2 linked regions of the Lytechinus pictus genome follow. The protein of the gene in region 2 interacts with the protein of the main gene of each other region in a pairwise test. Links are inferred from orthologs where the notes say so. Each region holds a gene or a part of one and is shown on either strand. Other genes may lie near its edges. The genes, in order: protein N-terminal glutamine amidohydrolase-like and BTB/POZ domain-containing protein KCTD9-like.

Region 1 (16,209 bases), on a different chromosome or scaffold from region 2:
GACTGCTATGAGAGGCATGGTTGTTTCAAAAGGCTCGAAGGACCGCAACGCGACTAGATTCTTCCAATAATGTGTTATTTTGTTAATACTACTCAATAAAATATTGGGGATAGAACAAGCAGAAGTCAAGAATCGTCATATCCGTTACGCGCACTCGGGCAATAAGCATGATAAGCCCGTAAATGCGCGAGTTGTCTTGAAATTTTCATTTAAATCCATATATTACTCTTTATGATCAAATCGCGCTAATTTCCATGGTATCCGCAATCACCGCACTAAAGCAACATTTTGCACGCAATGAAATGGGGATCTCAGCCAAATTTAACTATGCCCGTTGTTATGGGGCGGGTCCAGGGGCAATGGGCAGAAATCTTGTGAACTATGCCCGTTGCCCTGGGTAACCAACTTAGTTTATTGTTCTGGAGGCATGGTCAAATACATGACCTCACTTTTGAACAATGAGAGGGATGGATTATTCGATATTCTTAAAGAGAGGTTTATAAAAATATATATCATATTCAATTCCATTACTATTTCAATCACAATAGGATCGTACTTGCTGGTATCGACGAGGGTGACAGAAGTTCCGGGTTCGTCTTCAACTTCCAGTCATATTATCGGCTCACTCAGGAAGAGGTACAGAACTTTTTTTTTTCAATTATCCCATTATTGCATCCCTTGAAAGTCAAGTCTACCTCCACAAACAAGTTGATTTAAATAGAATAGATATAGAGAAAAAAATTGAATAAATGTAATTGTGACATCATGATTTTTTTTTCATAGATGAGTTCCTTCGATTCAATCAAAATGTCCAAAAGTATCATCATTGTAATGATAGTGGTGGGATCACAAAAAGCACAAGATAATGGCTCATTCAAAACGGCCCCTGAAAGAAAGAAAGAAAGAAAGAGAGAGAGAAATAGAAAGAAAGAAAAAAGAAAGAAAAGAGAAAGAAAGAATCAACATGAAACAGAAAGGGAAGTATCGTTTTGTCAGGCAATTGTTATACCATAGAGCTATAGCTCTATGGTTATACTATCCTTAAATTAAGGACTCCGATATGATCAGTTTATAAAGATAAATTGCAATCATGATGTTAAAAAATCAACCAAGCTCTTGATTATTTTGAATGACATGAAATGAAATGAAAATGTCTGCAACTGCATGTTACATAATGCAAAATAAATACTGCCATTTCAGTGTTTGCTCATTCGCATACCGCTTGGTGTAAACTGTTTTGTAAAAATTATAATATATATTATTTTTTTACTTGTCATTTTTTCAGCAAACCAATACCCTTTCTTTATAAATCATTCCCAAGCCCCTGCCAATTTTGATGATCTTTTCAGTATCATTTTTTCATTTTTTATTCAAATCATGTGGTTCTGATAGACATGAATCGGTGATAACGGCAGTTAATAATTATCATGATTATAATGCAATGTACGCGGGCGTTTTCTTATCGTGCTTATTGTATATGCGTGAAATTTCATGAGAATCCACTAAAAAGCATAATGGAAGAAATATATATATATATATACAACCCATAGGCCTATAACTATTTGTTATAATTCGTCTTTCGTCAACATTTGTCTTTTTAGGTATAGGCCTACGATGGTCTTCGTCAGTTTAAATTGTTAAAGGGATGGTCCGGGCTGGAAATATTTTTATCTCAATGATTAGAGTAAATTTCACAGAGCAAAATGCTGAAAATTTGATCAAAATCGGATCACAAATAGCAAAGTTATTGAATTTTAAAGATTTGCATTATTCCGGTGAAACAGTTCTAGGCATGTCTTTATGAATATTCATCAGGTGGGCTGATGATGTCATATCCCCACTTGTTCTTTTGTATTTTATCATACGAAATTAGGTTTATTCAAAAAATTTCTACCAAGAACTAAAACAAATGGATTGGCAACTGATTAAGTGCATTAATTATTTATTGCTGCAACTTATTTCACCATAATAGAGAAACATCTTTTAAATAATTATGCATGAAAAAAAGAAACATTTATGATTTCATGTAATGACATAACAAAAAAGGAAAAAGGGAATGTGACATCATCAGCCCACTTAATGAATATTCATGATGATTTGTATACAACTGTTTTCACAAAATATTGAGAAACTTCAAAATTCAATAACTTCGTTATTTGTTATCCAATTTTGATGAAATTTTCAACATTTTGCTTTGTGAATTTTACTCTAATTTATTTAGATATGAATATTTTCAGCCCGGACCATCCCTTTAAGTATTTTAATGTTTTCATTATTTCTAACATCCAGTGTGACTTTACCAGTATGAATATGGTAACACACACACCCGCACACACACACACACCCTCACACACGCATATATATATATACATATATATATATACATATATATATATTCGTAGATAGTACGTTTTTTATTTGGTGACTGACAACGTCGATAACAATATAATGATACTTAGTCAAACCGACCCCTACCACACCCTCTCTCTATTTCTCTTTCTCTCTCCCTAAACACACACTTACAGGCGAAGGATGTCAGCGATCATTATCCTGTTTATTTCGATCTCTACTGATACCACTTTATACGTTTGGACAGATTCATTGATAATGGATAACTCTAATAATTCAACTTTTTATCAGCTATAAACTTAATCGTAAACACAATTAATGGAGTGAATATAATAATCGCTAGATTTATGCAAGATTATGTTAATAATTAAATAAGGAGGAGGAAGAGGATGAAGAAGAGGGTGAGGAAAACGATGGTTGGTGATAATGATGATAAAATACAGTCTTGTAGTAATGATAGCAATGATGATATTCATAAAATAATGATAGCAAGAAGAATTATATCAGAAATTTTAAATCATCGATCATCACCATTATAGTGATTATCATAATTTTGTCGTTCCTTCCTCATGATTGTGGATAAATATGTTAGTAAATTCAAATGAAATAAAAACAAATGAATTGAAATCAGAGACCAACTATTTGCTTACATGTACCACTCATCATAATACCTTTAGTAAGGCATACGACAATATTTCGTGCTATTATACCAAGCCGTGTAAAATAATGGCTACAGTGAATGACTATCCCCAAGAGGTTCATAATAATGAATATTCACCTAAAGTATGTTTAAATATTAATTATACGTGTAATCGATAATTTAAAAAGTGATTAAATTCCAATCTGTGCAACATAAACTGTGTGTGTGTGAGTTTTGTAATGGGTAATGTTCAAGGGTTAACGCAAGAACATAGTATGTTGACACAATAATTTTATATGCAACCCATAAGACGAAAATTTCAATTAAATAGAAGATATTCAATTATTGGGAAAGTAAAACATGTGTATATACCCATTTATATTGGCCAATTAAGAACCTAAGGTTCCCCATTTCCAATTGGAGTTTAATGGTGGCAATAGGGCCAATTTTCATTTGGTTTAATAGGCATGATAGGAATAATTTGTTGGGTCAATTATTGGCAATTAGCAATGAGTTATAAAGACACTTGGTTCAATTGACAATTGGTTTTACTATAGTGACCATGCAATCGGTATTGGTCTCATAGAAGAAATTCCAGTGGCGTAACAGGCGGGGGCGGCTGGCGGATTTCACCGGGAAAATTTAAAAAACGGGAAAAAGAGAAAAGGGAGAAAGAAAGAAAGAAAGAAAGAAAGAAAGAAAGAAAGAAAGAAAGAAAGAAAGAAAGAAAGAAAGAAAGAAAGAAGGATGGAAGGAAGGAAGGAAGGAAGGAAAGAAAGAAAGAAAGAAAGAAAGAAAGAAAGAAAGGAAGGAAGGAAAAAAGAAAGAAGAAAGAAAGGGTAGGGAAAGAAAAGGAGGAAAAAGAGGAAAGGGGGAAAGGGAAAGGGAAAACGTGAAAAGAAAAATAAGAAAAAAAAAACATTAAAAAAACCGTAAGGAAAGCGGGAAAAGGAAGGAAAGAAGAATTTGAAAGAAAGAACAAATCATTCCGAAATATACTGATACATTAGCATGATTAGTAAGAAAGGGAAATTAATTTAAAGATGATGGCAAACAAAAGCGGGAAAGAAAGAATGGAATGAGCCAAAAGCTAAATTGGAAAATGAAGGAAAGGGACACGAAAAAGGCAGAACTTAATAACACTACCGGGACGGCGTGTAATTTTGTGTATGAAATCTATTACAAGCTTGCTAAATTTTATGCAATAACGGTCGCAATCAGGACAAAAAGTCCTTTGCCAAAGGATAGACATACCCCCTTCTTATACCAGGTATATAGCCTTACGTTGGCAAGAGTTACGGTTAACCAGGGGCTCTGCCCAAGACCCCATGCAGTAGGGGCTCTCCATCTGTAACCTTCAAAGAATCAAAGTGCTCTATATCGGGCCTCCTGTATGGATCGACCCTTCCTGCATTAAAGGAAAAGTCCACCCCAACAAAAAGTTTATTTGAATAAGAAGAGAACAATCTAACAAGCATAACATTGAAAATTTCATCAAAATCGGTTGTAAAATAAGAAAGTTATAACATTATAAATTTTCGCTTAATTTCTCAAAACAGTTATATGCACACCCTGGTCGGTATGCAAATGAGGAGACTGATGACGTCATCCACTCACTATTTCTTTTGTATTTTTATCATATAAAATATTCTAATTTTCTCCTCATTGGCAAGTGAAACAACGATTAATTCTTCCCTGAACCTGTGGAATTAGCATTGTTTAATACTATATGGTTCAGTCAAGTTGGTCCTTATTGTCAAATATGTAAAAAAATTGAATATTGTATAATTCAAACAATAAAAAAAAAAAAGAAATAGTGAGTGAAGGACATCATCGACTGTCTCATTTGGATGTCACTGAATTGTGCATATTACTGTTTTATGAAAAATAGGCGAAACTTTATAATGTCATAACTTTCTTATTTTACATTCGATTTTGATGAAATTTTCAGCGTTTTTCTAGTTGGATTTTTCTCTATTTATTAAAATCAACATTTTTCTGGGGTGGACTTGACCTTTAAGCTTTACGTTGAATCACTGGCGTAGGGGTGGGGGCTTGGTTCCACACCCAAAGGGAAATAAAAGAAAATAAAGGAGGCGACGAAATTAAATGAATGGAAAACAATAAAATGTGTTATTTACTGAATATAATGTAAACATCTATCACTTGATTAGAATTTCATTTCAAAAGGCCATTTTTTTCTGACTCGCTTCGCTCGCTAGTGACTTTTTACAAATTTCTCCACATTTGCTATGTTGTGCCCCTTCAACATATTTAGTTTATTACGCAACTGCATTGAATAAATGTGTTGTGTAAAACCTTTATCATATACCCGTGATTTGATTTTAAAAAAATAGCCGCCATCTGTGAGGCTTAAAATAGCTTTAATATCAAGAGGTTCCAGGGGCAGAGCCTCGGGACCCCACCTGCATAGCACTGGCGTACAGATGGAAGTGTTTGGGCCATGTTCTCTAAAAGTTCTACAACCAAGAACAAAAAAGAAAAGGAGGAAAGAAAATTAAAGGAAAATTGTAAGATATTTTCTGAATATCATGTCAAAATCTATCTAAAGGTTAGATTCTCATGAAAAGGTGATTTTTTTCTTGCTCGCTTCTCTCGCTCGCGAATTACATTAAGCAGGTTTTTTATACTCATCACGCTACTGCTGCATAGACTTTCGACCTAATGCCCGCGCACAATCATTAAAAAAATTCCTGTTCACAGTAGCGTACTGACCGAAAAAAAGAAAGAAAAAAGGAAAGAAAAGGGATGGGTGAAATTTAATATATATTTTTTTAATATTATGTCAAAATCTATCACAAAATTTGAGTTTTGCAATAAAAATGTCAACATTTTTGCTCGCTCGCAATTTTTTGTTCAATAAATTATGCCCGATGCGCCATATGTGGCCCCCTCAAAAATTTTGCCTCATTACACCACTGCCTGTTCGTACCATGACATTACCGGGAAATTGTTGGCCCTTGCCCCCCCCCCCCGGCCAACGACCCCTGTTACGCCCCTGTGAAATTCATGTCATATAAGTACTGATCAAGTGAGTGCAATGATGATGCTTGAGCAGGTGCAGGAGACATCATAGATACTGATATTTACTATACCCCTACATTTATACTCTCTATTTATAATCATTGACTTTCGAAGGTGGACACCCAGGGGTTAAGTAATGACAACTACATAAATATCAATACAAATGCTAACAAAGTAGATAAAAAATAAAGATAATGACAATTTTAGGCAAATTGAAAAATATTGTGATTAGAAGTTCCTTTAAGAGCTCAATTAATTCAATCGTAGAACATTTTGAAGTTGTTTTTTTTTTTGCTTGTCAACCAGATTTCCAGGGGGTACTGCCTATGGTAGATAATGAGCACCCCCTGACAACTCAAGACCATGTGGTATACTTTATATTCAAATGAGAAGAAATACTGAAAAAAGTCAGATAAAAAGAGTTGAAAATATCATTTTTATATACTTATTATTTTGTAAAGCTGTGTTGTGGCGGATATTTCTGTGGAGAGCTATGCAAATGAATTTGAATGATGTACCCAGTGGCGTACCGTGGGTCACGGCGTGGGGGGGGGGGGGCACCAGCAAAAAAATTTGAGACACTTAGTGAGCGCGCTCAATTGCCATGTGTACTGACCTTAAATATATATATTTTAAGGACTGTGCCATTAAACAGTTATGTATTTCACTGATCAAATAATGCGAGCGCGAGCTGAAAATTTTTGATATTAATTCAGACCTAAGAATGGACATTATAAGCAAATTTTCGTAATCATGATACGTACCTGTCTCGCTAAACAAACATTGCGAGTGCGAAGCGCGAGGTGAATTTTCTTATATATTGACCCCAAACAGGGACATTTTAAGGACCTCTTTTTAGGAATCCATTAAGAGTATACATTATCTCACCATAATCATATAATGCGAGTGCCAAGCGCTTGCTGATTTTGTCACGGTTAGAATTACACCTAAACACATGAAACACTTTTTGTAGTCATTGTAATCATTATCAACATGTGCATCTCACTAATCAAATATTGCGAGCGCGAAGCGCTCGCAATATTTGATATATAGATCAGAAAAGGAGATATTTTAAGGACTGATTTTAGGAATTTATGAAGAGCTACATATCTTACCAATCCACTAATGCGAACGTAAGCACGGATAGAAAATGTTTTATATGCAGACCTTAAAATGGCCGGGCAATCACTTTAAGCAGTCATGAAAAAGAAGCATAAAACAATAATAACTCTAAGTGCGAGAAAATATATTTGGTGTATATTGACTTGAAAACAGAATGTTTTAGTACAACAGGATCATATATCTCGTCAAACAGACAATGCGAGCACCGGGAATGATTAACATATAGGCCATGAGCAAATTATGTTTCATAAAGTTAAGAAAAAATATTTATAAAAAATATTTATGTAATATAACAAAACATATATAATATAGTATTATAATATGCAATAATTTCTTCTTTCCTATCTACTTTTCTCTTCCTTTCTCCCTCTTTTTCTCCTTTTTCTCCGTTTTTTTTTTTGCCTGCCGACGGGGGGGGGGGGGGGGGCGTGCCCCCATGCCCCCGTACGAGTTATGTCACTGGATGTACCCAGAATAAGGATTGGCTGATTATATTTCAAGTCCATACCCTATCATAAACAGTATATAGTTGGTACAAGAACCGGGTTATCAAATTAGATGCTGGGTCAACGCTCTTTTCAAAGAATGTTCAGTATTGTGCATATTCATTCAAATAAACCTTAAACCCAGGGGCACTTGCATTGACAAGTGGATACCATGCGCGACCAAAAACAGAAATGTAATTAAAATATTTACATAAATTTGACGTAGAATCGTGGGGGCTAGGGGCTTTTGCCAGCCAGCCCCCCCCCCCCCACACATACACTTTTCATTAGCCTTTTGCAGAAAAGTGAATATGCCCTAATTACAATTATTTATGCATGTTACCCCCATACACACACACCACACACACACTTTTTCAAATTCGTTCCGCAGCCCCTGCATCAAATTACCTTCTGTTCAAGATATGCATTCTATGATAATATTCACATCTTGTCTGGTAAGAAGATGTCTGCGGTTTTACTTCCTGGTTCAGTGATTATCCTCCTCCAAAACAATTAAAAATAAATCGTAAAAACTGTAAAAAGACACTTGTGTAATTTTTCGTATCTAACAATAATTTTGCCTTTTTATATATTATAAATCAACTGCGTACAGGCTGTGGTGCATTTGCACCCTTCCTGCGCTCCCGCTAAGGCAGACTGAGGAATTCTGACACTGGCAAGCAAATCGAAATTTATACCCCTTCTTCTGCTTTCAACAGCTGATTTTCCAAAATTAAATTCCACCTCCCCAAGATGTGCACCCCATACAAACAACAACAAATGCGCAGACACAACTCGTATCTCGCGGTCGCTCCGGATCCGCAAATGGGAATTCCCCATATATCCACCTCTATGGGATTCCCCTTTTTCTTCGGAGACGAGCCCAAGACGAGGGAAAAAAACTTTCATCTAATGATCTAGAATAGAATGCCGAGTATCATGAGTACGGGTGAAACTGTTCCGTTGAGTATCCTGCCTCCATTGGCTGACTGTTATTACTGTTATTGCTTTTGGTAAGTCTTGACAGAATACTTAATTAACGCTATTAAATAGGACTTCCTCGATACTGATCCTGAAGCCAGTTCTCTTCACCTCGGACTTGGGCTCGGAGCTCAGCCGGCCGCCGGCGCGCTCGGGAGCTGAGGCTAGGCAAGGTACACTCATACGAATAGTAAATACGGCCAGCATAACGCGTATACTGTTACTCCATATCACGTATGAATATGAAACCCGCAATAATTATTATTTTAGTATGGGTTACTTAGTGAAGTGGAGTGGAGCCTGCATGCACGAACTTCGCTCGAGGTAGACCTTGGCTATAGCCAAGGTCTACCTCAAGCGAAGTTCGTGCAGAGCCAAGGTCTACCTCGAGCGAAGTTCGTGCAGAGCCAAGGTCTACCTCGAGCGAAGTTCGTGCAGAGCCAAGGTCTACCTCAAGCGAAGTTCGTGCAGAGCCAAGGTCTACCTCGAGCAAAGTTCGTGCAGAGCCAAGGTCTACCTCGAGCGAAGTTCGTGCAGGCTCCACTCCACTTCACTACCGCTACACCACGCTCCACCTACCCGAACTTCGAGACTGTGAACTCTATCTGATATTCTGAGTGGCAAAGGTGGAATTTTATGGGGGGAAAATATAAAATTCATGCAACATCACCACTCATCCTACGAACGAGGTTATAATATACAACATCACAATCTTTAAAAACAATCAAAACTAATATTCTTACTTTACACCAAGTTTCATTTCTTTTCCATGCTTCTATCAGTCTCAAAATTGGTGATTTAGAGCCAACATGAAGTTCCTCACATGTATAAATATTTTGCTGCCGATTTCAAAACATCGCATGCACGCGTGAGGGTCCGAGCTCGGACCGGACCTGGTACCTCGCGCATATCGCATGCGATACGGCAGCAAATTATTTATATGTGTGAGGAACTTCATGTTGGCTCTAAATCACCAATTTTGAGACTGAAAGAAGCATGGAAAAAAAGTGAAACTTTTTGTATTTAAGTAAGAATATTAGTTTTAATTGTTTTTAAAGATTGTGATGTTGCATGAATTTTATATTTCCCCCCATAAAATCCCACCTTTGTCACTCGGAGTATCAGATCGAGTTCACGGTCTCGAAGTTTGGGTAGGTGGAGCGTAGTGTAGCGGTAGTGAAGTGAAGTGGAGCCTGCACGAACTTCGCTCGAGGTAAGCCAAGGTCTCATGTGTTGCAAAAAACTGAATCGCAAGTCAACTTTATGTCCAAAATGAATAGAAATGACAGAATGTTGGGCATTTCATTGCCAACGACATTGGCAATCAGCAATGGTATTGAAAATTTACAATAAAGACATGAAAGATGGTCTGCTTTCTGCATCAATACAACTATGCAGCTAGCCCGGTGGCACGGGCACGGTCAGACAGTGCTCTGCTCTTTTCACCAAAATTGCAGCTGACTGCAGCAGATCAATGCGGCCGGAACGGCGTAACAAAAAGTATGCAAAGCTTTGGAATGGATTTCTTTCTTCTTTTTTCTCGATAAGAAGAAAATGCTATGCTTTGGAACGACTTTCGTTGTCCTTTTTCTTATTAAGATAAAAATGCTATGCTTTGGAATGGAAATTTGAGCGTAAAATTGAGTGTCCTCTCAGCGGCACATACTCACCATGCAGTATATACTGAGTACCCCCCCTGGATTGTTCCAGTCATTGAAAACTTTGGGTGAAGGAGCGCCCTCTGAGGTTGAGTCTATTTTGTTGCTTGAAGATTTTTAGCGAGTGACCTCTAGTTTTGCAGGCTTGGTGCATTGTGATTAACTTGGCAAAAGTCTATACACCCATCTCCCTGCTTGTATCATGTCATCCCATTTTCATCTATACATGTACGAGTGTATGTAACTTCAGATGTTAGAGTCTCTCTTCATAATGTTTGTTGGCTAAGATAGGCAGTAATTTAGTGGCACATCTCTGGACTCTTTCGAGTTTATCAATGTCCATAAAAAATCTAGGATGCCAGGCACTGTTCCCATACTCCAGATGAGGTCTGACAAGTGTTTTGTAAAGGATAGGTAATGTCACTTTGCTTAAGTATGAGAAGGACCGTTCTACAATGCCAAGCATCTGATTAGCTTAACTGACTGCAAGAGATACAAGCTTGTGAAATGTCAATTCCAGATCAACAAGAATGCCATGGTCCTTTTGTTTGGTGGATGATATTGATTTGCTTAAAATTGATCACTTGTAAATTTGCATCTGAAATTTGCAATTGATTGCAAATATTTTCTTGCAGCACCACATTAGTGTGCAGTGGTCACTCTAAGCTAAGCACTATCCCAATTCTGTTTGGTATCACCATCATGCTACCACCATCACAACCACTGATGACAGTGGGTCATACACAACATAAACCAGATACAATGGAGAGGTGCCATGGCCTAGTGGTCTCAGGAGCCCGGCTATACCATGAAAGTCAGGATTTCAATTCCTGGCACAGCCTTTGACCAACGAATGTTAGGCCTTTGCTGTTTTATCTTGCTTCAAATAAATGAAAATGCTTTGAATAAATGAAAATGCTTTTATGCATTGTTGATACCAACGTGTGCACATGTTAAAAAAAACACAGACAAGATAGGTCTACATATGTAAGTTAATGCTTTTGACCTTGAATATGTCTATCTTATAAAGTATGACATCATGGTATTGGAAAGTTGAGGTTCTGGTGGTGCTGAAGCTTCCCCAAGATTTTTCTGGGGGTGCTGTGTGTGTTATTGATAAGGTCCCCCAAGTCTGTGCACACACATATCTGCACGATTTTAATGAAAGAAGATATGCAGCTACTACAAACTTTACACATGCAATACATAGAAAGATATTCATTACAAAATCTTACTCAAAATAGTGGAAAAATTAATGATTTTGGGCATTTCATGTGACGGCCTCAAAATACAGCCCTTCTCATTAAAAGTAATCCCTGAATCATGTGTAAAGTCACAATTCTTTGACTACCTGTTTACTTGTTTCAACCAGAGAACAATAATCTATTGTTCTCTGTTTGAAACAGGTACCGGTAGTCAAAGAATTGTGACTGATAGTGTAAGAGAGCTCACTTCATGAATTCAGGACTATTTTCCTGGTTAGCTATATCCACTTTCTGCATTGAAATCACCCCAACCCCCCCCCCCCCCAGAAAAAAACAAAAAGAGAGAGGAAATTAAATAAATGCATATGTTATCTTTCCAAACAGTGAGGAGAATATATGGAAGCTGTGTGAAAGTGTAAAAAAGAACTTCCCTAATGAATTGAGCAGGACGTATGCAATCTTCATCTCAAACAAAGAAAGGAAGGTGAGTAGAATTAATCATATAGAATGGGGTACTCTCAACAGTACACATTCAATTTATTAACTCATATGACACCCAAATTTTCTGGGAATGATAACTGAAATATTTTTCATCATTATGAAAGCAAAAGGAAACAAAATAGTAAACATAAGAAATATACAATATAAACAGAATGTTAGAATTTTTGGCTACCCATAATTTTAGCACAGACTTAGACCATGGTCTAAGTTAAACCTGACCTCAGAATACAGGCAATATTGTATATTTAATAGAAAAGGAGGGTATTGATAGGATGGGGGGAGGGGTGCCTGGTCAAACTTTGTCGTCTTTTCATGTATCAGAAGCCTGTGATGTGTGGATCTCTTTTGAAATGAAAAGTGATTAAACAGGATATTATCTTATCGTGATATAAATACTATTAAATACTGCTGATGATATTTGAATTCTGTGTCCATGGTCAAATAGGCTTTAGAAGATGAGATCGCAAAAGGTGTGATATTTAGATACTTTTTTAAGGCAGTGACTGTCAGTTAATCTTGAAGAAGAATTGAGAGGTTATTTCCAAACTTTGGAGATCTTGAATTGTTCTATGCGATGCCCTAAAAGGAGAGAAGAAATACCGAGATGGTTGCCTTAAATCAGTTCTGACATATGCGAAATAGCAAAACTTTATCTATGCATTTGAAGAATTAAAATTAGTTTTAATCTGGCAAGGGCCTGGTGGTCCGTCAGATCTGCAGATAATACAATTAACACTGACATCTATTTTGAATGGAGGTAATTCATTCCTGGATTGGATTACGAACACAAACTCATTGACCATTTCAAGAAGATATTGTCAGCAATTGGGGGAAAGGAGACTGTGATGATTGATGTGTTATATTTAGACATTCACAGTTTGTTTTTTGTATTTTTTCAGGTCCCTCTTTGGATGCAGAAAGCAAGTGGTCAAGGAGAACTCCCTGTAGTTTGGGTTAGTAAAGTCATGTTTGTTAATCATTTCATGAAATATTTTGGCAATTCCATATGAGGAAACATATATGACTTCATATGACAAATTTGTTATGTGAAAATGACTCAATTTTCAGGTAATTTTGTTACCAGGGTTTTGTCAATCACAATATTATGAACGTATTTAGTAAATAAATGGAACATATAAATCAGGTGATAGAAGAGGCATATTTTACTATGAAATGGGTAAAAAGGGGAAAGCCTTGTCCTGGTGCGAATGTTTGTAAGAGAATTACAATACCCAGATGTTTCAATTCTGGATTTTGTCATTAGGTAGCCATAAGTTATAGGATGATTACAATCACTTTCAAGTGAAGACATAATCAAACATTACTCAGGAATTCATGTTGTTTTCTTTTTGTTTACATAAGGGCATTCAAATGACCATTAAATGAATAGAACTAAAAGGACAGACTACAGAACGAGTTTTTAGACTTTATGATAACTTTGAAGGGATAACTCCTGAGCTTTATTTATTAGTGATTTTGTAAATAATCAAGATTATTTGTGAAAAGAAAAAAAAATCATTGTTTTATTTGTAAATACTCTAAAGTATGTTATTGGTAAATATTATTGTTGCATTTGTAAATACATATAATCTTGTTATTTGTGAATGATCTTGTTTTGTTTTAAAAAATGATCTCATTCTATTGTAGGATTACCATGTGATCCTCATTCACATGGATGCATCATGTGGAAGTCAAGTTTATGATATGGATACTGTGTTACCATTCCCTATTGACTTTGAGGAGTATGTGACTGTGGCAGTCCGTAGCAATGATGTTCTTAGGCAGGAATATTTCAGGTACCTCTTTTACATTTTAATAACCAGACTCAATAGTGTATATGCTTCAGAGAAGTGTACAGCATTAGGAAAACAAGAAATGATAATACAAAGTAATGGGACTTTATCTAGGAAGAACTGCGATTAAATGCTACTAATAAATTCAGCAGAAGTTTCAAATAATGGATTGAAATAAAAATATATTTCATTGTTTAAGATGCATCATCCATATTAAATTGACACTCTATCTATGGACTGTGATAACAGATGTGACCCTCAATGGAAAAACTTGCTCATTTGCATAAAGGTATTGGAGATTGTATTGAATCGCATGATGTGCTTTGATCCAATCAATCGGTTTTCCATAATTAATATAAAGTGTTATATTGTCTTTGATAGTGTACTACACTGTTGATTATGTTGACTTACCAGATATTGATATCACAATTCCCAATCTAGTGTTTTTTTTTTGTGGTAATATTCTATCCTTTGGCTCGTAACACAAAGTTTAGTGATTAATCGCTGAAAGCAATGGCTTATCAAGATCATTGTTGCATGCGCATCTCGTATTAGTAGGCTGACTAAGAACCAATCAGAATTGTTCTTTCAAATTAGTGATTATTTGCTAACCTTTGTGTTACGGGCCCCAGATCATCTTTACCCAATTTCTATCAAAATACATATACATGTACCTGTATTTGTTTTTTTATATAGATTCTTCAGGGTAGTTCCTGCCCAGGAATTCCTAGATATGTTTGCATCAGATCGATCACATATGAAGAAAGAGAATGGAGAATGGAGGACACCCCCTCCTTCTCATCCTTGCATCGTGGCAAAAGATGGTAAGAGCCTGTGGGGAATGGGGGGGGGGGAGGAGAGTCAATTCCATTGAAGAGTGGACAGCATCTCCGAGAATCATCCTTGAAAAAGAACCCTAAACGAGGAATCCCAGGCAGGCCGCTAGGGCACCCTAAAGCTAGAATTTGTCCAGACATCCGAAATTTGCAATCTTTACACTATAAACAGTGATTTCATTTATTATTTGGACATACCCTAAACCAGGCTGTTCAGTCTCTTGTTTTACAAGCACTTTCCACTGTGTGTATAGTATTGGGGATGTGGGTTTTAGGTCTGAGATGGGGTTTGGGATTCCATTTTGAATTTGACTTTTTATTGTACTTTTTATTGAGATGCCATGATAAGATTTTTTCAGGGATCTTGTAACTATAGATCCTGCAGCTTGTGCAAAGTACTTACCCTTTCCACGTTTTAAATTATGATTTTTTTTCTCTCTTTTTCTCATTTTAACACTGTTCTGTGCCTATCCCTGAAAAATACACCCTTTTCCATGTTTTTTAAATTCTTTTGGATGATGTCCACTCTTCAATAAAATTGACCCCACTGGGGGTAAAAGTAATTCTTTCATTTTCTTTTATCTCTTTTTGGTCTTGGTACATTTCTTTAAACCAAATAGTTAATTCTTCAAAAGAGAAATACATGGTAACAAAGTTTATTTCAAGGTAAATGAGAACAAGGAGCTTTGTTTATTTATCATTGTTGGATCTACTGAACAAAATAGATTAATTTACAGTTTAAAATGCATCTGATAATGACTATTATAGTGTGTAACCCAGAGTGATATGGTCACAATATAAAAGTAATTGGAAATGAAGTGATAGAATGGAGACAAATCATCATTTACAAATACTTTTTATTATTAACTATCCAATGTAAGAATAAATGTTCCATCTTGTCTGAAAGTTTAACTTAAACTATACAAAAGATATGGACATGTCAGATTTAAATTTATCTTTCCTCTTTCCATATTAAACTTCTCTCCCTTCCTCTTTCTCTTTTTACTCTTTTGTCTCTCTATATCACTGTGTGCAGGTACAACAATGAATCTAGATAGTTTCATCAACATGGAGAAAGGGACAGGTCATGGAGAGGTCATGACCCTGAATGAGCTCACAGCAAAGTTCAAGGACTCAAACAGCTGAAATCATGCCTAAAATCTGTATTCTATTAACTTTGAAATTTTGACATTGATTTTCAACGAGATGACAGGCTTTTGGTTCTGTAGAGGTGGTTTCATGAAGTTTTTTTATGAATGATCTGCATTACCATTGGCATGAACGGTCTTATTATAAGATGACTGGAAGTGTAAGAGGACAACTACCCCTTGAAACGATTCCAGCATTCCTGGAACACATCTCCCCTGGAGGAGAGCTTTTCAGAAGGCAAGTCTTCTTAAAGTACCCCCGCCCTCAAATGACGACTCTTTCAAGACACCTTCATAGGGCTCTTATTGTTGAAATTAAGGGAAAACAATTTGCTTTTCAGCCTACTACTAAATAGTCTTTCATATGTAATACAATTTTAATGGACTGCTAGGAAAGTCTTTAAATTGTGCCAGAGGCATTCTGTATGTTGTATTTGTACAAGCTT
Region 2 (16,924 bases):
TGGGATTACTAGGACTTGGGATGTACAGTTCGACTTTGCAGCGGAGGCTATCTCAAAAGGATACAAAGCGTTCTTTGCTCTTGTCGGGACATCTCCTTTCAGTGCCAGAGTTGTACCTCACATCGCCGCCAAGCTTTGGTCAACCTTCTGTGTCCCACGCATGCTATATGGCTGCGCTTGCGTGTCCTTCTCCAAGGCCATGTTGAATCGCCTCGACAAAGCTCAGGTACATCTTTTCAAACGTATACTAGGGCTTCCAGTACCTACTGCTGATGAAGCTGTGTACCTCCTGACAGACATACTGCCCATAAGTCTTCTGGTTATGAAGGAGAAGCTTTTGCTTTTAGGACAGATCCTGAACGTTGCCCCTGATAGAACAGAACGCAGGCTATTTCTTCATAGCATCTGTGCCAACACCCCTTCTGTTCAACAATGGCGCTCTATTCTCAGGATGCTAAATCTTCCTTCGCTGAACGAGCTGTTGGCTAGACCTCCAACCTATAGCCTCTGGAAACGCATGGTGGTGTTAGCAGTGACTGGAGCTTCAGAGTCCAGGCAAAGTGAGGCTCTATCCAAGAAAGTTTCACTCTCGTTATGGACCAGGAGACCAAAGCCCAAGGCTACCGACTTGTATCCTGGACATGTAGCTAATCCATCCTTGAGACCAGCTATCACCATCAGAGCCCAGATCTCTTGCAAAGTTTACTTAACTCAGGCCAGACTTGTCAGAATTGGAAAAGCTGCTGATGACATCTGTCGACTGTGTTCTGCTAATCGAAAAGATGTAGAACACTTTGTTTCATCATGTCCAGCCACTGCATCTGTGCGCCGTGACCTCATCAACCCCATAAAGGAAAATGACAATACCAGACAATTTGTAGGTTTCTTTGAGACAGACCCTCAGCATTTTCTAGAGTGTATTCTCTTTCTCCCCCCTGTGCACCTCAGCAATGCCAGTAAACCCCAGCTCCACACACTTATTTTATACTTCATCCACAACCTTCACACAACCCGCCAAAACCTCCTCAGCAACTTTCCTAGCTCTAACAACCCTTAGGAAGTGTCTACATTCTTCTACTGATACTAGCGATCTCCGACCTTAACGGAGGAGGGATACAAGAGAGTTGGATAAAAATTGAATTAAAAATTGAATTCATTTAGGTCTTCATTACTTTTATTTTTTAATTTCATTTACATCTCATCTCCAAGCAGAAATCATATTGTTTACAATATATAACTTAATAATTTATTCATATATTTTTCAATCATATTGTCATAATTTTAAATGGATAAGTTTTTTCAGTCATCTAACCATTTCTACTTACCATCATCAGCAAACATTCTAGCAAGCATACTTTCTGAATCTCTCCCAACCAGTGTTCTCCTGTAAAAGAAAATTGGGATTAAAATCAGTGAATGAGAGTCAAAGTGGACATTAAGTGAAAAATAAAACAGATTATCAGCTGATTACAATATTCTATGCAATATTGTTTTAACAAAGAACCAGAAATTACCAATATAATTCACTAAATAACCCAAGAACTCTATCAGACCATTGTTACCCCTATGCATGAGCCAAGTTTGGAAGTTGATACAATACGTGCCTCTTTTAAAAGTTATCACCAGAATGAAATATCATGACCTCAGTGACTTTTGATCTTTGAATTTGATGCCCCCAAAATAATCAAATCATTGTCATTCTTAAATGCATACATGCCTTGAGTGTGAAAGTTGATCTGCAAAATGGTTCTTTTGTTTATATTGGAAGGACGAAAACTGGACAGATGTACATGTACAACCTCAAAAACAACTGCATCCAGCGCCACCTGTGGTGGCATGAAATACTTCAAAAGGTGATCATTTCCTCTCACCTGTTTGTCATAAAGTGTCTTCCACCAACATTTAATGTAATCCAGTCGTTCTGAAGAACTCCATTTGCTTTTTCATGACTGCACATCATAACTGTGCTCTGCCCTGATCTACTAAATTTTGGATCTGTCAAAGAAACAAAATTTGCTCATTATTATCCTTGCCTGCATCAACAGACCATTGATATTAAAGGGAGGTTGTGTGCTTATTTGCAATCAATTGTGAATATTAATTGAAAATTGATTAAAGGATTTATTATTACCACGTCATATCATGCAGACAAGCAATCATTTGCAAGAAAAGCCTACAAATTTTTAGTAATTGTTTACAAATTCAAAATTTATTGCAATACTTTCGTAACACTTTTTCCATCTTCCAACAGGCCTCCATAATGCGGTCAAAATGCAGAGACCAATTTCATTCACAACAGGTATCTCAAGTCTGTACAATGACAGTGGAATATTTGTATTGCTTACAGTTACAGTTTATATTGCACATGAATTCAGTAATCTGAAATGTCAGCAAATAGAAAATTATGTTTCCATTGGCTGGCTATGAGAATTTAATTACATGAGATTTCTCATTTGATAGTGATAAGATATTAGGTTTCAATTCCGATTTAGTGATAGCATTTTAATAATACATATGAGGCAAAAGTGATTTTATAAAGAGAAATATCTTACCTATAAAAGGTTCATTCTCTGATATGTACAATATTTCATCATCCCTGCAGAGAGAGAAAAAAAAGTATCAACTGAAACTAGATTGGCTGGCCAAGAGCAGGGGCACCATCAGGGTCTGTTTGATGACATAAAACAAGGAGATGGGGGCTGTACAAGCTCAGCTTTTTATTTTGACTCCCCGCTTTTATTACATACTGTACTGTACATTATATTAAATGCTTATCTTGATTCTTTGTAAACATATATTTGTTGTAAAAGTGGAACAAAAAATTCAATTGTAAAAATTAAAAGATATATCCAACCTTTTCCATACCCTTTTTTTAGCTCTCTTTTCTACCTTTTTCATCTATTAAGCTATGTTTTTTTTTTAAATTCATTGCAGTTGTGGACTTCACCAACTTCCACACCATTCCTGGCAAAAATGCAAATTTCATCTAATTTGATTTTTGAAAAAAAAAGAACTAATCCCTCTTGTGACCTTCATCCATATACAAAATCTGTTTCCCAGAGAGCTGCAGCATGGCAAAAGATCATAATTTTCTAAATATATGTATTTTTATTTCATTTTTTACGCTGACAGTACAGTAAGTCCACACTTTACATGCAACAGACTAAATGCACACTTGATTTGAAATACAGATAATCGGTATTATACAACACACATAGAGATCCGTGACAGCTGATTGGATGAATGTGTATCACATGAAATTCAGAGTTATCAGCAATAGTAACTTGTGCATGCGCATACCTGCATCACTGCGCTGCATACACTACGCGCATATATAAAATTTAGTAAAATAAAGGCTAAAGAAAGGCCCAAGCAGATCTAAGTAGATCTAGTCCTATTCCTTCTTTTCCTCTATTTTGGTTATTTGGTCTACGTTGACTATGTTTTGTCATTCATGCGACCATTCAAATATTACTTTCAGTGCAAACTGAAGCAGTCTATTCAACTGCACTTCACGTCGTCGAATAGACTTTTTCAAATTTGCAAGCTCATGTAATATTCCAAACGATCACACTCATTAACATTGAATATTTCATGCTATAGGTTTCATACCTGATTAAAGAGGCATCTTCTATTCTACCTCCCTTTGCTGTGAATACATGTGTAGCTGTTAAGCCAAGGCAGTTACTAGCGACTAGTATCAGTCTTTCCATCGTATCTGGGCATGCTATGACCTGGAATATGAATGTTGATAATATTGATAATCATAATAATAATTAATAAATAAATAATTATTGTATAGTACACACCATATCATGATATAAAATTTCTATGCACTTCAAAAGGTGAAAATACCCACTCACTTTTATCAAGAACTTTCTTTTGAGGATTACGTTTGTAGGCTGCTTTACAGTATTAAATTCATCAAATCAATTCTTGTACAAGAAACTTTATTTTTTGGCACTTTTTCAAGGCAGTGAAAAGCTCTTTTCAGAATGCATTTCTTTTCTGAACACACATAAAATTGTGCAAGAATATTGTAAGTCTGATAATTGAAGAAATTATTAATTCATTGCTTGACCATGGGCGGAAATCTCTCCCCAAAGGTAGGGGGACCAGGGGCTGCAAAATTTGACAAGCAAAAAAAAAAAGAAAAAAAAGGTTATCACCCAAAAAGTAAGGTCATCTCGTCCAAAATACATGTTTTATTTCGATTTTGAATGATGCATTTCTTTCCATCATAAGAGACCAAAAACAGTAGGGGACATTTGATATTGTGTCCCCCCTACTTTTTTGGGTAGGGGGGAAGCATCCGCTCTGTCCCCACCTGGGATTTCCGCCCATGGATGATTTCCGTTGAATCGTTGAAACGTACCCAATAATGACCACTTTAAAACAAGAACGTGGAATGCATGATGGAGATCACATAAACAAGAATGACTACATGGTCACAAGCTAGTCTCCTGAAACAATCAATATTACTGACTAAGACTTCATCATGGTGAAAGCTATCAACAAAAATCAGTGAAAATCTAGAGTATTCTTTGAAAAACCATTACCAATAGAGGCCAACAGTCAACATTGAAGACTCTATTAAGGGATGGTCCAGGCTGAAGATATTTCTATCTCAAGAAATAGAGTAAAATTCACATCTGGAGCAAAATGCTGAAAATTTGATCAAAATCGGGTAACAAATAACAAAGTTATTGAAGTTTAAAGATAAGCATTATTCCAGTGAAACAGTTTGAGGAATGTCTTTATGAATATTTATTAGGTGGGCTGATGATGTCATATCCCCACTTGTACTTTTGTATTTCATTACATGAAATTGAGTTTATTTGAAATTTTCTGACCAAGAACTAAGTCAATTGGATTGAAAACTGAGTACCGGTAAGTGCATTAGTTATTTATTGCCACAACTTATTTCATCATAATGGAGACACATCAATTACACATGTATGAAAAAATGAAACATTTATGATTTCATGTAATAGCATAAGAAAGAGGAAGTGGGGATGTGACATCATCAGCCCACCTAATGAATATTCATGACGATGTGCATATAACAAAATATTGATAAACTTTAAATTTCAATAACTTTGTAATTTGTTATCCGATTTTGATGAAATTTCCAGTATTTTGCTCCGTGAATTTTACGCTATTTATTTAGATATAAATATTTTCAGCCCGGACCATCCCTTTAAACTTATTCGGGAGATTATCTCTTATATAAGTTGGCAGTAAAGGAAAAGATGATGGGCAGATTCATGAAAATTTTCCCTTGAATATTTTTCATCATCTACACACAAATGACAAAACAATTGAGCTTCTTACTAATGACAGAAAAAACATGATAGAGAAAACAAAGATTAAGCATGCTCTCATAATGTGGCACTCCCTAGATTCTTTGTTTCACTATGCCTAATTCCCACACAAGTTTGCAGACTGTAACCAACAAGCCTGTGTTGAGTTCATGCAATTTTCTAACACACAATATTTAACATATCAGTTTTGTAAAAAAAAAAATAATAACAATTTTCTGGAGTGGACTTGACCTTCAAAGGAAATCCATCATTAATTACCACCTTCGACAAGCAGGTCTATAGGGCCTGTGTCTAGGTTCCATAATGAAAAGACAAAATTCATCACGGAGTCCTCTAGACTACCCAAGACCCCACATTTTACTCTTTGTAGTTGTAGGGATTGATTTTGTACTTATATTTCTTTCCACTCTTATTCATGAATCATCCCCTTTTTTCTAATAGAACATCCCTCATTTATATTCACCCTTTTCATCCTAACTTCCATTCCTTCATGCACAGCTCTCTCTTATACATTAACTGCTGTAGGTGTGCGGCCGCTTAAAGGGATGGTCCGGGCTGAAAATATTTATATCTAAATAAATAGAGTAAAATTCACAGAGCAAAATGCTGAACATTTCATCAAAATCGGATAACAAAATTATTGAATTTTAAAGTTTATCAATATTTTATGAAAACAGTTATATGCACATCGTCATGAATATTCATTAAGTGGGCTGATGATGTCACATCCCCACTTTCCTTTTTCTTATGTTATTACATGATATCATAAATGTTTCATTTTTTCATACATGGGTAAATGATGTCTCCATTATGATAAATAAGTTGCGGCAATAAATAACTAATGCACTTAATCAGTTGTCAATCCAATTGTTTTAGTTCTTGGTAGAAAAATGTTGAATAAACCTTATTTCATATAATGAAATACAAAATGACAAGTGGGGATATGACATCATCAGCCCATCTAATGAATATTCATAAGACATGCCGAGAACTGTTTCACCGGAATAATGCAAATCTTTAAAATTTAATGACTTTGTTATTTGTTATCCGATTTTGATCAAATTTTCAGTATTTTGCTCTGTGAATTTTACTCTATTTATTAAGATAGAACCATCCCTTTAAAGGAGAATGAAACTCTTGGAGCAAGTTAGCTTTTGTGAAAGCAGAAAAATCAAAGAATAAGAACAACAAAAGTTTGAGTAAAATAGGACTAGCAATAGAAGAGTTATGAGCATTTGAATGTCGAGATCACTAATGCTATGGAGATCCTCCCATTGGCAATGCGACCAAGATCTATGATGTCACAGATGAACAACTCTCCCCTTTTGGACGCTGAAAATATACCCCAAAACATCTCTTTTTGCTCATTCTAATCATATGACAAACGATTCATCAATGATATAATGTTCTGAAACCTCTGTACTTGTCATCTCATAAAGAGAACACCTCACCTTGTGATAGACTCTATAAAAGTGAGAATATAAGTGAAATAAGTACTTAAATAATGAGGGAGTTGTACGTGTACGTGACATCACAGCTCTTGGTCGCATTGCCAATTGGAGGATCTAGATGGCATTAGTGATCTCAATATTCAAATGCTCATAACTTTCTTATTATTCATTCAATCTTCCTCAAACTTTCAACAATATGTTTCTTTGATTTTTCTCTGTGATATGGATTCAGCTGGTTTCAAGTGTTTCATTTTCCTTTAATGTTTTTCCCATCCTTAACTATTTTGGACAAACCATTTTAATCCATACATATCATATAAAAATGACTGATGGTACTTCCTTTTTAATCGTGCAAATTGGCCAATATTTTATTATTATTGTCTTATCTGCAATCTTCCCATGTAATTGATGTAAACTTTGTATGTGCTTTGTTTTTGTTTTTATGATGAATGGAATAAATGCTGTCAAATCTAATCTAATCAATAGCAAATCGCGGTGGTCAAGATTGACCACCGCTACTGACCACGATAGCATTCCCCAGTCAGCCGCCGCCCTGTCTCCAGTGCGCGGTACTATACGATGTACAATTCATATGGCGCTTCAATCCCGCAAGCTCCGTGAGGCAGCTGCAGTTCACCTCAAAACGGAGCGCAAACGCTGCTAAATGCACAGTTCCACTGAAAAGCATGTGAAAATAGCAAGCGTACACGCTTTTTTATAACATTGACTTCCGGGAAAAAGTGGCGGCCGACATCGACTCGCAAAAATGCAATTTTCACGTGAGGACGTTTTAAAAATTCACAAACATCAGGAAAACCGTGAAAAATCCACTTTTTTGGACCCCTTGTTCCTTAACTACGATGTTAAGAAGTACCGAGTGTGATATTTTTTCCGCAAGATATGGTGATCTAGGTAAGAAAATGTCACTTTTTATTTGAGATTTTGCCCATGTCGCCGGATAATTTGTAGTGTGAATGTGACCTAGTGAATGTGTGGGGTACATCTCTAGTGTGTTGGAGATTTCAGTGGTATATTGCCGAGTCTGCTTAAAATGCCGCACACCAACCCCCTGCCGCGCACCGACGCAGTTACTCTATATACGTGTAGCTCATTTTATTCGTATTATATTCCTTTTTTTTCTCTATTTTCTTCATTATTTGAACAATCATAGTAATTGGACTTGCAATCCCCACCTGCAGGATTGGACATGGAAATTTATTTCTAATAACATTCTTCCTGCACCCTTTATATTGGATTGCACAATGCCATGAAAATAAAAAAAAATGTCATGACTTTAAATATGTTGTGATGAATCATGAAGGGCGTGTCTCAAAAACACATGAAACCATTCTCTTATTTTTATATTCCATTTATTTTCCGTCACTCCAATCTCAGAAGAGACTTTAGACTAAATTATTGATACTATTGAAGACAAATATATTCCACTGAAACCGAAAAGAAATAAAATAAAACAAAGACATCCGAAAGTATGTATGAATATGATTACAAATAATTCAACTAAAAACGTGACACAACTTTGTGCAGATGGGACCGAGATAAAAATCGGGACTAGTACATCTACAACTACAAGCTCACAATCTCCTGTGATAAGCGCTCTCATCAACACGTTTTCCTCTAAAACAAAACACTATTTATTCATTTTACATACCTTCCCATCAGAAGTCCTTCCATTTCGAAATATTGTGACTCTAGGGCGTGTATTTGAGGCCATCTTTGCAGGAATGACGACGGCAATCAGCTGATTTTACGCGACGGACAGTATGGTATCTCCAAGCAATAAATCTCCAAGAAATAAATTTTCCAAGAAATAAATTTTCCAAGAAAAGGATTGAATAAAAAGTCTGCTTGTATATACATATAGTTGAATAGCGGGACAAAGCAATATCCATTTATAATCATTTTCGAAATCATTCTTTTATTCTATTTATATAAAGAGTGAACAAAGAACATATTGAAGATATAACTGTATGAAAATTAACAGTAGGCTGTCCCCAAATTTTCATATTTCACTCACACTTCTGATAATATTACTATATACACTGTTAGAAAATTTATCCTTAAAATAAAAGAAGTTCCTGCAGCAGAGTCTCAATAACACCTGTAATCTTACCAGATTGCGTAATCTTACAGAAAATTGGTATTTGGTGTATGGAATCTTACAAATTTCCTTAAATAAAACACCCTTTTTCCCTTTTTAAACAGACCTGTTCTGTTAAATTGCAGAAAAATTCCTGTTTTATGAATTTACAGAATGATTTTGTAATTGCTTTCTGCAAAATCTTCTTTTTTTCTGTAAAATCACGGGTTTTTTTAACAGTGTAGTGTTAGTTGGATAAATAACATTATTCAACATATTTATAGGCCTAGTGCTTAGTAATACAAATGTTTCTATAAGCGCTGCATGTTAATCTATTATTACAATGCTTTTGCAATATTTATAGGGTTAAGCTGCACTAATCTGTAACACTTCCTCATAATAATATGGAAATATATTTTTTCGACGTGATTTGATTCAAGTTAACAAAATATTTAAAAATTATAATAAGGTACATGATAAACGATATTTGTTTCCCTCCTCTTCTAATAATAGTTAATCCATCAAGTATAAGGTGACGGAGTTATTCATTTTGGCCATACAGGCTTGATTGCATTTCGACACTCACACTTATATGTCATATTCATCTCTATAATCTTGAAATACCGTTTACGTGGGAGTAGAGATGACTTGCCCGCTTCAGTTCCGGCTTCAGTTTAGTTTATTTGCTCGGATCTTCATTTTGACGGAAATCACTTTAATTCGAGTTAGCATTGGATGGCATACAGTACTACTGTTTTCTCCAAACACTAGCATCTTTTATCTTTGTCTATAGCTCTTTCTGTTGTCTATCCTGAGTCCTGACTATAATTAGCATGCTCCTGCTCTACTTAACTCGCCGACTCAGGCCAGCCTTATCTCATCTCATATCAACGACTTAAGCCAGCCTCCTCTATTCTCAACTCATTTGGTTTACAGTATGTACTTTTATGTAAGGGCTAAACTTGATTTTGAAAGACACTCTACTTTCTCGCCTATTTCACTTCTACCTCTATCAACTTTTTATTTGTAGAACTGTCACACAGTGTACTGTAAACCACTTCCTGGAAGGGTAGACTAGTGACTTACCACCGATCCAATCATTAGGCAATTATATTCATTCCAAATTCTTTTGATTTCTCCCCTCTATGATAAATGTTTATAATCAACCCAATCATTATTTTTATTAGTGTTGCACAGCTGAAATATATTGTGATTTGTTTTGATTATTTTGTATTTTGTAGAGCCTATACAATGATTTACTTTGCATTATCGCTTTGTTGACAAACAGCTGAAAGCATTTGGTTGGATAAATAGATGGACAAGATACGGTATCAAACCAACGTGGGTATACATTTAACATTTAAGATTCTTGTTATTATTGTTCCGTGCAAAATGAAATATAAATTTTGATTCTTACAGTACATTCTTAACAACTTTTAATATACATAATATACATGACTGTACGCATGACAGTTTTTTCCCCCACATGATATGCGTTTAACATATTACATCAAACACCTATATATAAATATATATATTAAAAAAAAGCAATCCAGATATCAAAACCCTCATTCATGCATGCAGAAACATATACAATTTCGAATCCATTATAAGCTAATATGTTTGTTCAAGTCAGTTCAAAACAAACATTTCTTAATGCTTTTTTTTTTAACATACATGTATCTGATTCATTAGCAGTATAGTACAAAATACAATTAAATTTTCATCAACACTTTTATACAAGCAATAAGGCGTAGAAAATAAGACAAAAAGCAGGTACAATATACAGTGCGCCCCAGAAAAAAAGGAAACCAGGATTATCATGTCTTTTTAATTCAAAGGCAAATAAATTTCGATTTTTCATTTGGATAATCATATCATTCAATTATTCCTCTTTATTTTGATAACTGATCTAAGACAAACACTTCACGCATTAATGAGCAAGCAGAGTTCGAAATTTTAATCAGTCAGACCGCAGGTCCCTATGCTAATGAGCAAAAAGGCCAGATTCATCCAAATCATCTCGTGGCTGAATCCTCCTCCTTGTAAAATCTCGTGATTCGTGAGATTTTCTTTCTCTAAGAATTTACCTTATTTAATCTCAAGTTAAATGAAATATTATTACATCATCGGATAGAGTAAAAGTTACTCTTTCATATTGGTCATTTATGTTGTATACAATATTTTGTTAAATAAGTAAATTTCTGGCCTGAAAATGTGCCATAAAACTGAATTTTCTTCCTCTGTTTTCTTTTGCATATTGTGCAAAACTTTTTATTTTGAGCCTCAATGATATCTATATCACCATAAAGCTGAACTTCTGTACTTTCTCACAATGCCAATCTTGATATGCGGCACCTTTTAATCGGGTCAAGATCACACTTTTCCCACCAAGATACAAGACGAGATTTCTGAAATTTTGCACTTGCAAGAAATCCAGAGTTCTGATTGGCTGGATAAGGTTCACAGAACAACAGGCGCGGGGTATTTGAGGAGATTACCACATGGGAAGTGTGACCTTCCCACGAACCCAGGCACTGGAACCGTTGGAATTTGCCATTGTGTGGTCTCTTTGACCAATCAGAGAGCAGTATTCTTGTTTTCAAGCTGCTTTATGTACCTGGCAAATGAAAAGTGTGATCTTGACCCGATTAAACCAATTCTTATTTTGAAACCTATATCATTTTAAAGCATACATATTCAGCTTTATCATGATATAAAAATCATTTGGGCTCAAACAAAAGTAAAGTGTGAAAATAGCAGCTTTTGTCAGGTGAAAATTTTTATTTTGTAGCATATTTTAGATTAAAATTTTAACCTATATTACAAAATTTTTGAATAAATCCAAACACATGACCTGAAAGAATTATTCTTTTTATTTACAATGGTACCAAATTCATGAAATTCGATGCACAATTAGAGCAGCAATGACCGAATGAAAAGAGGTGTTTTGGTCCGCATCAAGCTCATTAAATATGCAAAACATCTCAAGTCATGAATATCACTTGGATGAAAGAAGCCACTTTCTTGGGACCTGCAGTCTGACTGTAATGTCAAAACCAGGTTGCGCAGAAAAATTGGACAAGATTGGTTCGTGGTACGACGACCGTGTATATTCAACGATTGGCTCATTAGCATTTCTTTTGTATTCCTTGTTAAGCTTCTCTCACTTATCCTTGAAATGAGAGTGGAATCAGATTCACACGTAAGTTTCTGAGCAAATTGTTTCTGATACACCTCAATATCTATTGTTTGTAACCTGCCATGCGTGAACGAATTGCTAAGCTGTTGGTTTCAAATGAGAGATGAGATTCCACTCTTGCCATGAGTATCAAATTTATAGTAAAAACATATTTAATAATTGTGAAATCTATAATTGAGAACGAGTTTCCTTTTTTGGGGGACGCACTGTATTTCAAAGGAGGACACACTTTCAGTAAACCTTTTGGAAACATAGTTACCTCAGTTTCCGTAATCACTGACCAAATTATGTAGCGATTCTCAAAATACAGATATATCTTTGCAAAGGATTTTATGAAAAGGCTATATAATCAAATCAGTAGGCCTATAATACCTCACCCCATACCATTACAAAGAATTTGAACCTGATTAGGGATTCTTCTTCTTCTCCCTCCTCTTCTTCTTCTTCTTAACCAAAATCATCAATTTTCGAGATTTCCGTCTCAGACACTCAAAAGAACACATAAAAACCACGACCTGAAATCAATTCAAATTTGAATTTTATGGCAAAAGGGTACACGATATGGGACACGATATGGGCAGTAGCATTCATAAGTAACTTAATTTAATGAAATGGAAAAGTCTTCGACGGAGATTGTAGCGACAGGTAAAGCATGTTTATTATTTTGCCCTTTAAAATGTATTTGAAAGCAGTATCCAGTTCAATAAATCTTGCACACAGCTCATGATTAGCGTGCGATCCGATTTTGGAAAAAAAATAGTAAAAAAATTCGAATATTGATGCATGAAACATCTTTATTGAACGATTGCTTATATTCAAATCTGTGACTATGAAATCATCTTTACGACTTAAGAAAAGGCGAAGTAAATTGTAACAATATAGCTACGATTTAAACCAATTTAGCCTTTATTCCAAAATACAAGCTTGGTATCACCCAAAAATGTTATATTCATATGCAACCTCTGATAAAAAGATATTTTTCATTCACAGTTTTATACAATAAACAAAATGCGATTTGTCCCAAACTCGGTTCGTATACCAGTCGTAAAGTAAGTCAATGGACAGCAACATCGGGTAACATGAACGGGCCTTCGCCGAGAAGTTCGAATCTGAGACCAATGTGGTCATGCCACGCTACAGGAGCGAGCAGGACGTAACGGGCCAGGATGGGTGGATTGAATCGGTTGGTGAAGTGAGAAAACTGGTCGCAGTTACCAGTGAATATTTTAATCTGAAATTCAAAACAATGTGCATATTTAAGTCATTAATCATCATTATCACGACCAAAGGCGTATGTTAGAAAATTATCAATTTTTCGTCAGTACTTGCACCACGTACAGGCACAAGATGTCGCATTTATATGTGGCAAAATTGACAGGGAACTTCTGAAGAGGAACTTTAGAGGAACATTTACATTTCTATGGCATCGATGGTGTCAGTACCATCCTTGATAATGCATCCTCTTGTGTCTGTAGCAGTAGTACTGACGAAAAAATACAATCCCGAGGCAAGTGATAGCACATGAAATCGCTCTCCCCTTCCATTCTTTGATGCTCTGAATTTTCGGTCGTTCATTATATTATTAAACTCGCGCCACTTGCCTCCTTGATGCGCCACTTATTATGGTAAATGACTGATATGAATTCTCCTTTGAATTACATAAATGTAAATTTCAATATATAATTCTACATTGATCAATAAATATACAAGAGACAATAATCTATACTTTCTTGAAATTGGTCTTTCTTGTCACATGGTCACTGAAGCCATTTAGCTTCAACGAGGGTTGTTTCCGCCCTCACACTATTTTTACCCTTTTTATTTTTTAATTATGAACTATTAAACGCAATAAGCAAAACATTCTATTAATATTACGTTTTCTCAATATTCAATATATTTTTTTCATCGATTAAATATATCACGTGAAATTTGATATAATGACCTCTTTTGCTTCTCCGCATGTCGATTCAGTCACTGGGATCCAATTCCCTCTACTCTCTTGGCTGGTCCAGACAGTATACCGGGTCACCCAGTGAGCGGCATCACTCCGCCCCTGAGTTATAACTCCCGTCAAACGATACACAGCCATGAGATCAACCTGGATCCATTGAGCGAGATCATTGATGCGGGGCACCCATCCCCCGACCTCGTGGTTGAGTCTCGCCGATTCGGAACAGTACGCGTCGTCGCTGATGCACGAGGACGCGGCAAGACTCGAGTTGGGTATACGACCACTTTCCAGGCCCAACTTGTTCTCGTCAATCCCAACTTCTGTAAAGCAAACAGTATACCCAAATAGGAGCATCCATGCAGAATAGAATGACCGTTTCACTGATCATTTCATTCCCGAGGATTATAGGTCTATATGCATAAAACGGGAGGGGAGGGAGGGGAATGGCTTGATGACGAGACTTCGTCATCATAATCACCTCAACATTCCCATCATCATTCAAACAACATTGTCATCATCGCCGTCGTCATCATCATCATATATATTCAGGATATCACAACTATCCTCAGCATTACCATGTTTACCCTAATTTTGAACACCGTTTGTGAGCATCACCGTCACCGTCAACATCATCATCGTCATTATCATTATCATCATCATTATCACCATCATCATCATTATTATCATTATCATCATCATCATCATCATCATCACCATCATCATCATCACCATCATCATCATCACCGATCCTCATGACCATTATACCACCTCTCTTGTCACCACTACCACTATCTTTTTCAATATCATCAACATCATCATCATCATCATCACCACCATCATCAATATCATTATCATCATCACCACCATCATTATCACCGATATCATAATTATCATCATCACCATCACCACCACTATCATCATCACCATAGATCTTTTCAGCAACAACATGAAGTCCATACCTGCGACTGGTCCATTACCGAGGAGTTCTAGTCTGAGAGCAATATGCCTGGTCCATCTCTTTGGATGAACCCTGACTGCACGAGCCGTCAAGGGAGTCTCAAAGACGTTGATGATCGGTGTTGCACGGTCGTGATTCCCTTGATAGATCTGAGAATGGAATAAGTAATTCTGCTTAATAATCGCTTGCCTTAATTCCAAATTTGTAAACCATCTTCCAGCGGGCACTACCCGATCGCCTATTCCCTCATAATTTCCAATTTATAATAAAACATTTAGGAAGTCACACGGGCCTTCAATTTTAACTTTGATTAGGGAAAGGCCACTTTTCGATAAGGCACATTAACAGCACAAATAAGAAAATAAATAGCAAAAAATCACCAAGACCATGAGAGAGGGTTTGAGGTCAATAAGTAAGACATCTAATGCCTTGACTTTGAATAACTTGGATGTATATCATTTAGATGTCTTCAGAATGATAGACTCTTCACTTTGATATTGCGTTTGCTCCGATTAGCAATTATATCATTAAAAATGCTAAATAAGATCATCTAGGTCCTGTTTCTTAAAGACTTGACATAATAACAAATGCACAATTTCCATACCAAATTTACCATCAACTAATGAGATAGAAGGATTTCAGTAGCTTTTCGCAAATTTCTTATTATAACAAGTTTTGCGAAACGGACCCCTGATAATTATTTCGTTACGGTCAACCGACTGAGTGATAGAGCGACAGGGTAATAGTAAGGTAGATTTCGCCAGTTTCCCGAATACCGCTACACCCACTACATCAGTACCAGACTAGAATCAGACTACCACCCATTATAATAATAATAATAATAATAATACATAACATTTATAAGGCGCTTACTACTTGTGTTTCTAAGCGCACTGTGTTCTGTTTATGGTTTGTACTTGGGTTTAAGAAATAAAGAAAAAACAATGTGGCAGGGGAAAATGACACAGCTAATACAACTATACTAATAATCAAAAATCAAAACTGGTGTGCACCTCCAATTGACCGACCCACAACTGTGAATCATCTAATAAACAGGTAGGTTTTGAGTAGGGTTTTGAACTGATTCACAGACTTGGCATTATTGACCTAACCTTCTCTTCATGACCACAATCCTGTATGAACGACCACATCTTGCCATCCATGCTATGCGATACAGCAAATGACGTCACCCATTGGTCCGCGTCTTGCCTTCCTTGCGTGATGACACCAACCACTCGGTATTTATCTACCAGATCTACTCCTACCCATTGGTTGTGATCGTCAAATCGTGGTATCCACGCGCCTGGGAGTTTCTCCGATGACGTCACTGTGTACCTCGAGGTTTCCCCTTGTCGCTCATCGCCAGCGAAGTTGAGACGCGCGTATTTCGCGCAGTTGCGATCGTGGTAGCAACTGGATGCGTAAAGTTCGGAATCCGGTATTCGATAATCCTCCAGGCCCAGGGTATTCGGTACAACTGTTGAACAAGAGGGTGGTGACGATTTAATGATTATCAATTTGAGAGTGATTAGTAACGAGAATCAGGGGAGCGTTTCATATTTATTGGAACTGCGATGGTTACAGGGTTCAGCAGCCAATCAAATTCAAGGTTTCCGTGGCAGTTACCATACTGACAAACTTTATATATGAAACAAGCCCAGGATAGGAGATTGGTAAGATGTGTATTTCTGTTATGGTCGATATTATCGAAATGTATCGGGATTTGGGTTGTTTCTTTTTTTATTTTTGCCTTTTCTGATAGAATGTCTGGTATCGTGGGTTTTTTTTTTTTTTGCAATTGCTAGTCTAATATTGCCGTTTTATTTTGCCGAACGATAAAATATTCGTTAGCAAGCTTATCGACTAGAAAAACAAATATCATCATTTAATTACTGATAAAATAATGTTACTATTGGCCCATGCTTGAAATGTGGGCTGAA

Evidence for each region.
Region 1: the proteins of BTB/POZ domain-containing protein KCTD9-like (region 2) and protein N-terminal glutamine amidohydrolase-like interact in binary tests that used the Homo sapiens proteins (3 or more experiments, as listed by UniProt). The link is inferred for Lytechinus pictus from reciprocal best matches to the Homo sapiens genes KCTD9 and NTAQ1.

The regions. Positions count from the first base shown.
Region 1 is NC_087247.1:43,139,315-43,155,523, reverse strand, and holds the start of protein N-terminal glutamine amidohydrolase-like, read left to right. Parts: upstream 1-8,162; 5' UTR 8,163-8,568; coding exon 8,569-8,654; intron 8,655-11,869; coding exon 11,870-11,969; intron 11,970-12,885; coding exon 12,886-12,939; intron 12,940-13,633; coding exon 13,634-13,782; intron 13,783-14,475; coding exon 14,476-14,603; intron 14,604-15,651; coding exon 15,652-15,761; 3' UTR 15,762-16,209. Other genes in the region: deoxyribonuclease-1-like, read left to right, coding at 549-636, 2,526-2,573. UniProt on the Homo sapiens protein: Mediates the side-chain deamidation of N-terminal glutamine residues to glutamate, an important step in N-end rule pathway of protein degradation.
Region 2 is NC_087256.1:3,241,373-3,258,296, forward strand, and holds the start of BTB/POZ domain-containing protein KCTD9-like, read right to left. Parts: upstream 8,565-16,924; 5' UTR 8,508-8,564; coding exon 8,445-8,507; intron 3,735-8,444; coding exon 3,613-3,734; intron 2,597-3,612; coding exon 2,553-2,596; intron 1,996-2,552; coding exon 1,872-1,995; intron 1,385-1,871; coding exon 1,326-1,384; intron 1-1,325. Other genes in the region: lactadherin-like, read right to left, coding at 13,130-13,306, 14,018-14,346, 14,986-15,133, 16,097-16,461. UniProt on the Homo sapiens protein: Substrate-specific adapter of a BCR (BTB-CUL3-RBX1) E3 ubiquitin-protein ligase complex, which mediates the ubiquitination of target proteins, leading to their degradation by the proteasome.